Linked DNA regions of Neodiprion lecontei. The protein of the gene in region 2 interacts with the protein of the main gene of each other region in a pairwise test. Links are inferred from orthologs where the notes say so. Each region holds a gene or a part of one and is shown on either strand. Other genes may lie near its edges. The genes, in order: G2/mitotic-specific cyclin-B3 and cyclin-dependent kinase 1.

Region 1 (7,006 bases), on a different chromosome or scaffold from region 2:
CTTTACATGTACAGGAGTAGTTTTCAAATCATACAAATCTATCAAAGCATAGGAAGTTGGGAGTGGGCAGAATTGAACAATGCAAGACTTATCATTCCTCAAACTCAGCACGGATAATGAATTAATAAGCACTTTATCATATATCGATTGTTCTTTGAGGAAATTTTCAAAATCTTCCAAAGTAACTGGATTGTTTTGTGGAAATAATTCTATAGCCGTAACAGGCTGCACTGAGTATTCAATCAATTCTAATGTGACTTTAGCACCCACTTTTAACTTGAGATTATGCCTGAGATTTTCCGACACGTAGACGCTTTTATAAAGCAAATTATTGGCAAAATATTCTCTGTCAATACAGTATGAACACTTTTTCAAAACCTCTTCCAGTACAAATATTTTGGCGACTACTTCTGTTATTAAATTAAGTCCTGCAGTATTGTTAGTTCGCAAATAATTCGTGTTAGTTGCTTTAACGAATTGCGTATTCTGCCTCACTTTCTTAACTCGGCAATAAATCTCTCCAGAATGGAAATTCTTTGGTAAAAAACGTTGATTAATAAAAATATTGTACGGCTGTCTCAATAAGGAATCTACAGTGCTCATGGCCTCTGTGTCTTCTATCCTTTTTACAGGTAGGACCCGGAAAGTCTGAATGATATTCTTCTTTGAATATTTTCCCACTATATTCTCAACAGATTCTTCAATATTTGCCTCTTTTTTCTTATCTGTGTCAGAAAACAAATTCGGCACCACATTTTTAAACGTATCCCAAAGACTATCAGATGAATTTTCTTTTTTATCCTCTTTTACTTCCTTTTTCGGAAATGATACTGTTATCTCTGTGAACGGTTGAAGCTTTCCATACCTGTACCTAGGTTCCACAGACTCTGAAGAGAAAAAGTGAGCCTTAAAAGTGAAAAATTACTTTTTTCTTAGTCCTTGTGTAAGAGTTTTTGAAATGAATTGGTATTTCGATAAAGGGAAACTTTGGATCTTAGGAATTATGATCAAGATCCCTGTTGGCGACAGATTGACCATTTTAAACTCACTATCGGCTTGTGGGTAAACATTTGTGTATTATTAAATATACTCACCAACATGTAATTCAACAGACAGGAACTTTGATATCCAAACAACAATTTGCTGGTCCACCGCGACAATGTTGATCTGGTTTAGTAATGACTCTTGTATTTTGTTGCTCTGCAATTCCTGTAAAACCAAATCTATGTAACAGATAACCAAATAAATAAAAAATAAGTTTATACATTCATCATTAAGGTTTAAAATTCTATATAAAATAATGAAAAACTCACCACAATTTCCCAGTCTTCGGAGCTTTTTGGCATGACAGTGACGTTAGATACAGCAGATGGATGAGCTTCAGACGATGCAAGAACATTATCTCCTTCTTGAATGCCCAAGGCTCTTGCAAAGGTTGCACTGAGCCTTAAGGATTGATCTGGACTCGGCTGAGAGTGCCAAGAGAAATAAAAGTCGCGATCATGATGCGTGATCCTGATGGCATTAGGCTGTAATTCAATCAACAATACTCATGTAGATTCATTTGAATAGGCCCGATTTTGGTTCAGGGCTGACATTATTGACTTATGTCGCCATCTATGGAAAATTGAGTTAATGTATTGTGAACGACTGCAGTTAGATACTCGAAGAGGGTAAGAAGATATACGTCCAGTTACATAATGAATGGAATTTACAGTTACAGAAAACAGTAAATGCGCATATTGATAAGATATCAAAACAAAATGGACGCGTAATAACAATCAGTCAGGTTTGAACAACTATGAATTGGATCATACCTTTGTCGCAAGCTGTCGTTGCCAAGTAGCTGGTAAATAAACGAAGCAATTTTGGACGGTGATATATTTAACTGTGAATCGTTCAGCCTGCATTTTTTCCGCACGTATTGATGAAAATAATGACGTCTTTCAACGTCGAATAGCCGCGGCCGTGGTGGACCTTGCTTACAAACAAAATACGATCGTATCGTTGGCACCCGAGACGCAAGGTCACCGCGGCTACTTGTTGCGCGACAAGCAACGCTTCTTCATTCGCCGCCGGTAATGCAAATAGTTCTGAAAATGAATAATTACGTAATTCATATGTACGTTGACGGTTTTCTCCACCTCAAAATGAATTAGAAAGATTTCGGGTCTTCGTTTTAATCGGTCAACAGACGTACCAAGACGTACTGAGAAGTAAAACGGTCATGCTCGGCAGCCATTTGGTCAAGTGATTGCTAGTTGCATGGGTCGTCGCTAGGGGCCGTGACCGTGGAAAAATCATTGAACCAATCGTATGTCGCGAAATCTCTAACTGTGATATTTTGAACCAGCGTCAACTTCAGTTGCTCTTGAGTCAAGACGAGCGGAAAGTAGTAAAGTAACGTACCAGTTGTTGACGGATTTTTGTTAAATGAAAAAAATTACACGACCCAGGCACAAGGAATTGAATAATAAATATTAAGGTAAAAGTCTCGTGGCTTCTCTTGATCCTTGTAACGAATATATGTGAAGAAATGTGGAGAAATAATTCCCCAAATTATATCTTTCGCTTTTAAGGTCACGATAAAAATGGTGGATCCTTTGGCCAAATTGTAGATCATATCCTTATTAGCATTTCATGTTTTTCACTTATTTTATCACCCGTGCTTCATCCCATCGAGTCCTTATGAAGATTGCCTTGATAATTACACAATTATATCGAAATATTCGCGGTAAATAAATTCTCTGGCATTTTGGGCGATGCCAACGACCAACGGGACGTTCGTTCGTTACCCTCGAAAAATTTTGAAATTCCTTTGATTTCTGACTCGAATGTACCGTGATCTCTAGTCCAAAATGTCGCTAGATAATCACTTCACCTTACATCATCCGTACCTAAAATTCTTACAAAAAATATGACAAAGTCTATTACAATGTAACTAGAGGAGTTGTCTTACGCTTAATTTTGACTTATTCCAAAGAAAATATCGCATTATTTTATAAAATAAAAACGCTACTGTTTACTTTCACTAAAGCTAATCGTCAAGTTTAAGAATACTGTCAAATCTGCATGCAAACAGTTCAATTCTAGTGCATAAGAATCAGTTCTTCGCATTTACTTGTTAACGTTAAAATTCATTTACTTTTGAGGTTATAGCGTCGCGTAATCACGTGACAAGTCAATACATCCGAAATACTTCTTTCAACTGATAGAAAAAAAGATCACAAACTTGACAAACTAGTATGAAAAAAAACCTCGTAACAAAAACTTACGTAATGGTTACTAAAACAGAGAAACTTAAATGCTATGTATTGTACATAGTGTAATATAATGAGAAATTTCCCTTCATGTACGGCAAAAAATAGGTTTACCATTTGGTGTTTGATTTAAATAATTCGTTTGCAGAACTTTGTGGGGAACTGTTGACTGTCCCTTTACGTATTACTGAAAATGGCTCCAACCAAAGTGTTAAATGGCCAAAACAAACAGAATACCACTGGCATAGTAATACGTAAAGGAATCACAACTAGAAGTCACAATTCAATAGCTAACACTAAGCACCTGACAGTTGCAAAAGACCCAAGGATCAAACGCAAAGCAGATGCCTCTCCCTTGAAAGAAAAGACAACAAAAAGATCAGCATTAGGAAATATCACCAATGTAAGTCAGAAAAGCAATGATTCCAAACAGTCGAATAAAGTATCAGTACCAAACTAGACAACTAAACTTAATTAAAACTAAATAATCAATAAACTGATGAATAAAACGCATTTGTCGACATTTACAGGCCATCGGCAAGTCCTTAGGCGCACAAGTCCATGATGTTAAAAAGATCACAAAGAAAGCAGCGACCCAAAACAAGCCATCCACGACTTCCCTACAGTCCCTAGGAAAGATTTTAGCTAAGCCAGACAATGTTGTGCCAATCAAGCCGAAACCACCTGCACGTGTACCTGCCAAAAAAAAGGAAGATGATAAAGTAGAAGTCCCAGCTAAAATAGCAAATGCAAGGCGCAGTTTAGATCTGGAAAAGTCTGAAGATAGTTCGCTGTATGTGAGTGCTTTAGAAGACGCTGACGAGAGTTTGAAAAAATCAACACAGAGTAATTCTAGGGTAAATAAAAAAATCTGTTGGATAGAAAGTAATTTTAAAATCAAAAAATTTGTTACATGTGTGAGAAGAAGCGATTTCGAACAATTCGAGTACACAATAATGGTTCTCACTTAAGTATTGCAGAATTTATTCGCCAACAAATTTTACTGGAAAGATTTAGCTCTGTAGAAGGAAGGATGATGGTTAAGATAGAAAGCTGCAATTTCAAAATGAGCTGGAAATTGTTTTACATTGATTTGAAGAATAGCTGCAGAAAAATTCATTCATATTCTAATTAAAGACCACCCTGATATGTAATCTCTAGCATTATCTTCTCTCCATAAAAGGTTGATGCCAAAGATGGTACTGCAAAAGAGCCGGAAGAGAAGGTGCAGGCTTCACCTGATCCAAAAATACCTACTCTTTCGATTGCAACTCGCCTAGATGCTCCGCCTACTAACAAATTACCCACTGGTGTACAGTGGGATTTTGATGCTGAAAATTGGACTGATCCTTACCAAGTTTCTTATTATGCAATGGACACGTTTAATTACCTCAAAAGCCGGGAGGTAAATGTTTAATTGTTCTACTTTTGACTAACCTCAAGTGTAAATTAAATTCAGATGAAACAGTTTGCGGAATGTTCAATTCATTATTTATGTATTTTAGCTTAGCATAAACAGGTTATCTGTTCTATTTCTATTAGCCATTGTTCCTGATTGGCGATTATATGGAAAGACAAGTTTGTTTATCTCGATGGATGAGATCTTTACTTGTCGATTGGATGGTTGAGGTCCAAGAATCCTTTGAATTAAACCACGAGACTTTGTATCTAGCTGTTAAATTAGTAGACTTGTACCTCACTAAAGTGACGGTTGGAAAAGAAACGCTCCAACTTTTAGGTGCAGCAAGTTTATTCATCGCAAGCAAATTTGACGTGAGTCTTATGATATTTCCTACTGAAAACACAGTTCGGAAACCAATTATTAGTTCTAGTTACTCAAATTTCACTATCAACAGGAAAGAATTCCGCCTATGGTCGACGACTTTTTGTACATCTGTGATGGTGCATACACGCGTCGGGAACTAACTAGGATGGAAATTAACGTTTTGAAAATTATCGACTTCGACCTAGGCATTCCACTTTCTTACAGGTTCCTCAGAAGATACGCCAGGGTTTGTACTTACGCACTATTATAACATGTAAGAATGAAAAACTGATTTGAAGGACTATTAGAACCTGATTTTCAACTTACGAGTAATTCAAAAATGATGAATTGTTAATTCACTATTGGTTTAATGAACAGTGTGCCAAAGTTTCTATGCCAACTCTAACCCTGGCTCGTTACATCTTGGAGTATTCGTTAATGGATTACGCAACAATAATGTACAGCGATAGTAAAATGGCAGCCGCTGCTCTATTCATTGCTTTGCAAATGAAGGATCTAGGTGGCTGGAATGCAACCTTAGAATACTATACGGGACTCAAACTTGAGGAGATTAAAGAAATCGTGCTGGCGCTAAATCAGGGATTACACCGGAAACCTAAAGAAGCATTAGCAACAGTTCGCAACAAATACAGTCATAAGTAAATCGAATTAATATAATCTGCCTAACGTTACCAGCTCATTGCCTAATAAACTTTTAATCTCTACAATAACTAATCGAACAATGTGCTAACAATGCCGCTTTTTTTCTTTCAGAATATTTTTCGAAGTCGCAAAAGTGCCACTGAAAGAAGTATTAGATATATAGTTAGACTTGTAAGTACCGTATTATTAGTAGTTAGATACGGGGCTTGACTGGTTTTTTTTAAATAAAATAAACCTAACTGAAATACCAACCTTACAATTTTGGTTAGGATTCCAAAAGTTTTTCAAACCTGAACATTAAAAATCTAACTGTACCCCGTTTAAAGCAAGAGAAAAGAATTGAAACCGAAAAACTTTAAGTATTACTACCTAGCTACGACCTTTTTTCTTCCAATTTTTTTTTTCGTATATTTTACATTTTAACTCTAGAAATATTTGACGCAGAAACTTGAAACTAGTTTTTACAATTTATATGCACATTTTTATCAAAGTAGAAGCCGAGTTTGTACCAATGTACACTAAGTATTACCCTTTTATTCCTAAACTATTTGTACATGACTAATATTTCAATGATACTCTACAGTCTCAGAATTTATGAATTATTTTAGTTTTTTTTTTTTTTGTCCCTCTTGTTTCAAAAATTTCTTTTAGCGCCACACGCTTTTACTCAGAACTAATGACTCATTTCTGACGGTTAGAATAATTTTTTTCACTTTAATATCGGTCTTATTACGCTATCATATATATTCCGATTAATTTTATATTTTTTTCTACATTTATATTTTAATATATTAGATAAATGATAATTATTATTAATAAGAATAATAAAGGTAGCGTTATCGTTCGCAGCGCATCTAAATAGTAAAGTTAGAATTATCGGAACAAGGTTGAAAATGCAGAAAATTTTCATGTGTGGCGCATTGTTATGGAATTTCGTTCCAGTGGTATGATGGTGAGACTGACAGACTGATGCGATGGTAAAAATGATACCACCAGGGTAGAAGGTAAATTTTGAAGAATTTTACGGAAATTAGCTCTAATCCTCTTGTGCCTTGTGCTTATTGGATTGCTCGGGGCGTAATGAAATTCGACCACAAAAAAGAGTTGAATAAACAAAATATAACCAATCCATTACTATTTGTTTCTTTGTCAAACCATAAATGTTTGCCAGCTCTCAGTCGGTTCTTCGAATGTCTTTGCAATCTGTGATAAGAATCCCAATATTACGTAAAATAATTCCTGACTGAACTAACAATAACTACATGTATTTTAACTAATGCTAGTTAGTTGTAATTCGTACCTAGAGTTTTTTTTATAT
Region 2 (5,411 bases):
ACATAAGGATCTGAAGCACGCGTTAACGTATGTATGAGGGGAGACATTTATACGATGATTGATTTATACAATTTCATTCGTAGAATATTTCGCAGAAGCATTGAGTCGCTCATATGGCTAAGCTAATTTCTTTCTCAGTCCACGGTTGACAATCGCTTGTGTTTCCCGTAAAACGTTGTCACATACGCACCGAATAAGCTTTCGGAAAAATAAATTTTCAAGTGAACATAATCAATCCTGATCAAATTGTTAGTTTGGGTTTGATCAACTGATAATTACAATAATGTTATGTGTTATTTTTTTTCTTTTTTTCAATTATTACCTGACGTTTGCACGCTTTTCATGTAGTCCACAACTTCCACTCAGTTATTCACAAATTATTTAACAGTTGAAAAAAACTCTTTCCAATTAAATAGTCATTGGATGAGCAAATCACTAACTGAATTTGCGTTAAATTACCTCATTTTTCATACATATCTTTCAAACACCGTAATTTGTGCGTAGGTTTGCGATATAGAATCTTAGAAAGCAAGCAGGAAATTTATACTTGGTTGTTAATTGGCATCCGAATGGCGTAATTTGCAGCTGATTCGGGATATACAAATATCATTAAAACGCGAAGTTAATTTTGATCCTTATTTTATATTCTCGTCGTAAAGAAAGTACAAAAATATTCTTATTTCGAATGAATACTAATTTTGACCACTTAGTTCGGTCTTCTACTTCGTTTTTTTTTTTACTCTTCCCAACTTATGTACATATTTGTAGTCTCAAGATCTACGTCTGCTTTAGTTCCATTCAATAAAATTATCTTACATTTATAAATATTATTGAATGGAACATCGAAATCTTGATACCACAAAGTGTTTTCCTTTCATTCCGTTTCGTTCATAGTTTTTCGACATTTTTATTCTCTACTTCATTTAACTTGTTCATCTAAAATATAATTATCTTTAAAATTAGACCAACTCAGTGAATGACAGAAGATATAATACTAAAAACTTAGATATCTTACTGGTTATGGAATACGTAATAGTATAGTACTTAATAGCGCTCTCTAGATGGTTCCTACACATAGAACGATTGGTATTTGTAACCAACGGAGAACTTTATTCAGGTACACACTATGTCTGGTTTCGTTTCATTCTTCATCTTGTCATGCGAAAACTAAAAATGTTACGGTTAAAAAGACAAAATTAAAATCATATAAACAAAAACAAAAACGAAAACAAAAAAAAGAACTGCGATGATTGAATTAAACTTTAAGTGGTATTATAGACTCAGCATGCAGCTGAAATTATGTGAGATTTGAAGATAATTAAATAGGAACCATCTGATCATGCGGAACCTGCTTAAACGCCGGCGTAATGTGAGAAACTTGCAAACTATGAAGTAAAGTATATAATTTCGTTGTTTCACCACTGTTCACTTTGACGGTAATTTCGACTTGTCCAAGTCGTTAAAATAGGGGTGTTGCAGAGCTGCTCTTGCAGATATTCTATACACAGGATCATACACCAGCATCGCTTGCAAAAGATCAAGACCTTCTTCATCTATCACTTTGACTTGGGATGCCAGATTGTTGGATGTCCAGTTCGGGAATGTCGCTTTGTAGTCAGGAAGCTGTGTCACGCCTGGCCATATCTCCTCAGTCGGGGTTCGCAGTACTCTAGGGAAATTACCGAAAAAAGTATAGTCGCAACGTATGATCCACCTTGAAATGATCCAAAAAGGCAAAACCGATTTTATTATTTTGTTCCTAACTCTGGTTGCCAACATAAGGCATGTGTTTCATTCAGAGTAAAAGGCTACTAAATCACAGTATAAAATCAATGTTCAATCGGCTTCCTAGGTATGTGATTGTTTTACCGAAATATCCTAAAGAGCTGGTCTATCTCGCTGTCGCCTTGGAAGAGGGGCTTTTTTGTGGCCATTTCAGCGAAGATACAGCCAATGCTCCAAAGATCGATCGGGCAGGAATACCTCGTTGATCCTAAGAGAACTTCAGGAGCCCTATACCAGAGAGTTACCACCTCGTGGGTATACACTCTCACAGGAATACCAAATGCTCGACCCAATCCAAAGTCTGCCACCTTGATTACTCCATTTTTGTCAATAAGAAGATTCTGGGGCTTCAAGTCACGGTGCAATACACGTCTTTGATGACAGAACAGGATTGCTTGAGTTATCTGATGAGAAGAGAACACGGAACAGTGCAAGTTACATTTCACATGTTAGTTCTCATTTATTACGCTCGACGCAAGGAATGTATAAAAAAAAAAATACAGACCTGATACAAGTAGGATTTGACAACTTCAGGTTCCATCAATCTTCCATTGCCTAAAGTATCCATATATTTTTTCAAATCCATCGATAAGAATTCAAATATTAAATAAAGTCGTGATTCTTCCATCAAAACATCTTCCAGACTAACAATGTTGGGATGCTGTAGCTCCTTTAGCAAAGATATTTCTCGGATTGCAGTCGAAGGAACTCCCTCATCGTCGCTTTCTAGTCGAATTTTTTTCATTGCCACAATTTGTCCGGTTTTCTTATTTTTTCCTTTGTAGACAACACCATAGGTTCCTGATAATTTAAATTGATATAATCTTTTTCTGAAATGATTCTAACGTTAATTCTAGGCTTTATGTAAAAGGGGCTGAAGTTAGTAACGTTAATGTAACAAAACACCAGGAGAAAAATTATCACTCTACAATTTCCGAATTACTTTCAAGGAATTTGGTTCTCGAAATATATGTAAATATGTTTTGTATATCTTGGTTTACCAAATTTCAAATGATCTTAAAGGTGCGAAGTAACGATTTCTCTGAAACATGCATTGTTATAGTAACATTACTAACTTCATCGTTATTCATGTAAACAGCAGTATTAATAACAGTATTTCAGAACAGCGGGTGCAGATTTACAAACGAAATATAAACTACACGATTCCATTTAAACTGTATTTCAAGAAAGCAGGGTGTTGCTCCTATCTTTAAGCATGATGAATGAAAAATACCGGTTTTCGTGCAACTTTAAATCAAAAGCATACACAAAAGCAAACTACGTGCCAAAAGCGCGTCACATGCTATGTAAAATTACACAGCATAAATAATTGATTGAATAGTAGCATTTCAAAGTGTTTAGTAACTGGAACAAAATTCATAACTGGGAAGAGGACCTCGAATCAAACAATATGAAATGGGTTTTGAATGCTTTTCTGACTTAGAAACGGTTGACTTGCGAGTAACAAGGACAGATAATTGAAAGTAAAATAAGGGTAAACCATAATATGGTAAAGTTTCGTCAAGTTTCAGCTACACTTGGAATGATGCACAACAAATCGTATCACCTTCGCCGATTTTTTCGATTTTCACAAAGTTTTCCATGCTAATTTTTTGATCAATCATTCACGCAGTTGACGCGGGCACTCTGAACCGTGAAATGCTTTGTAAAATTGCCTAATCGCTACTGTATTTTCGAGATTTAACACGCCTGCAAACAAAAAGTAACGTCCGAATTCAAATGCGGCAACGGAGTCGTCGCCATATTGGTAAACACGTGTAAACAAGATTATCGGTAAAGTTATACGGTGGTATTAGCCAATTGGAACGCGTGTCTCATGTGACAGCTGCTTCCTGCGCCGGCGCATTGGCGGAGCGCGGGACATTCTCTCAGAGTAAAAAAGAACGTAAAATGATTCCTGCTTGGTAAGCCCGCACGTTTGCTTCCGTGTAACCAGGGTAAGCTGACCGACACATACAAAGTTAGGAAAATAAATCATGTATATGTGCATGGGTACGAATGGCACGAATGCGGCAGCAGGCCGTGCCATCCCGTTCCCTTTTACTTCGTACGGACACGTAACATCTGTCAGCGCTTAGTGCTATCCACGGAGAGTATAGAAACGAGTGAAACGTACGTTTACACTAGTTTACTTCCCAATACTCGTGAACCTAACGCGCGCAATTGATTTTGCATTCCATACAACCACACACGACAAGATCGGCGCGCAAAAATAATTGTCAACGGTCCTCAACCAGGTTAGATTCGATAAACATCGTGTTTTAGACAATCCAATTTTCTGTGATTTTTACAAACTGGAATGAAACTTTTGATTTCCTCATATTTTTTTAAATTCCGTAACAATTACTGGCTTTACATTATCATGTAAACACAGCAAAAAGTGTCCATTGTCATATTCATATTGCAATTTAAAAGAAATTTTCAACATCACAGTAAACGGTCTTGTGAGCTAATCGTGTTTTACAAGTTTTTCTCTCTCCTGGGCAATGAAGCCATTTTGTCCTTTGGGAAATGGTACAGTTTGCAATTACGGTCGTGTTGTCATTGGGAATGATTTGGGAAGATAACGAAAACACCAGCAATTGCAGCCAATTCTCGCTCACGCTACTGATATGTGAATCCTAACATCTTGCGAGCATCAATTTCCCTACATTTTCCCAGTAATCACGCAATTGCGATTATACATCTTGTTCTTTCCAAAAGTTTGGAGCATTGTTGCTGCTCAGGAGAAGAAAAATGTAAAATGTAACTTCATGAATTTCCTTGCAAATCTGGGAGGTCCGATATGCATTTAATTGTAAGTGAAGCTGTGAAATTGGGAAAAATGAGAAAGCCTTAGACTATTCACAAGTGTTCTTTCGTGAATATTTCATTCCGAAAAGATGAAACTGATACAGCAACAACTGGTCTTGCTATTACACGTAGTCAAATGCCAGAGGCGATAGAATTAATTGGAGAGGTGAGGCAGTGCATATTGCTACATTGTAGAACTATGAAGAATTTTTTGAAACACATGAAATGAGGAACTGAGACTTGTTCTGTACTGCATTGCAGCTTGTCTCATCAAACAATAAGTCACTGAAAACACTAAGTGACTGCACCATGTGCTTGCCACTGAAGTAATTGAATCCAGCACTCTTGAATCTTGAACCTTCCCCAGTATGGAACTTACAAGAAATGGCAGGAGTGTAAAAATTACCTATTAGTTCGAAATTTGCTTGAAAAAAAGTTGAAAAATCGTTCTAGTTTAAAATGTGTCGAAAATTTGTATCACTTTTTCTTATTCGCCTTTACTTCTTTCTGAATATAGAATTTTATTTACAAGATCCCAAGTATAGAATTTCACACTAGCAAAATTTTAAGCATGATTCATCCCATACCATGTATACGTAAGTCAGCCGGCTTGCAGAGAATGAATTAATTTTAAACTTAATCTAAGTTGGAAAAATTCATGCGTGAAATAATTGTAGTTTCTTTTCTACAGCCACTGCATTTTAGTATTACTGTACAATGTAGGTATAAGTCGTACTTACAAAATATTTTTCGTAACATCGTAGAATAGGACTTCTTGTATCAAGATATATTTCGTCAAAATGGAAAAAAAA

Evidence for each region.
Region 1: the proteins of cyclin-dependent kinase 1 (region 2) and G2/mitotic-specific cyclin-B3 interact in binary tests that used the Drosophila melanogaster proteins (3 or more experiments, as listed by UniProt). The link is inferred for Neodiprion lecontei from reciprocal best matches to the Drosophila melanogaster genes Cdk1 and CycB3.

The regions. Positions count from the first base shown.
Region 1 is NC_060261.1:33,960,081-33,967,086, forward strand, and holds G2/mitotic-specific cyclin-B3, read left to right. Parts: upstream 1-1,978; 5' UTR 1,979-2,078; intron 2,079-2,305; exon of another isoform or gene 2,306-2,485; intron 2,486-3,408; 5' UTR 3,409-3,453; coding exon 3,454-3,663; intron 3,664-3,790; coding exon 3,791-4,117; intron 4,118-4,443; coding exon 4,444-4,665; intron 4,666-4,802; coding exon 4,803-5,033; intron 5,034-5,116; coding exon 5,117-5,272; intron 5,273-5,403; coding exon 5,404-5,684; intron 5,685-5,799; coding exon 5,800-5,851; 3' UTR 5,852-6,340; downstream 6,341-7,006. Other genes in the region: peroxisome biogenesis factor 1, read right to left, coding at 1-887, 1,095-1,209, 1,314-1,529, 1,818-1,910. UniProt on the Drosophila melanogaster protein: Cyclins are positive regulatory subunits of the cyclin-dependent kinases (CDKs), and thereby play an essential role in the control of the cell cycle, notably via their destruction during cell division.
Region 2 is NC_060262.1:35,222,752-35,228,162, reverse strand, and holds cyclin-dependent kinase 1, read right to left. Parts: upstream 3,609-5,411; 5' UTR 3,411-3,608; coding exon 3,353-3,410; intron 2,587-3,352; coding exon 2,291-2,586; intron 2,190-2,290; coding exon 1,870-2,189; intron 1,670-1,869; coding exon 1,426-1,669; 3' UTR 623-1,425; downstream 1-622. UniProt on the Drosophila melanogaster protein: Plays a key role in the control of the eukaryotic cell cycle. Required for entry into S-phase and mitosis.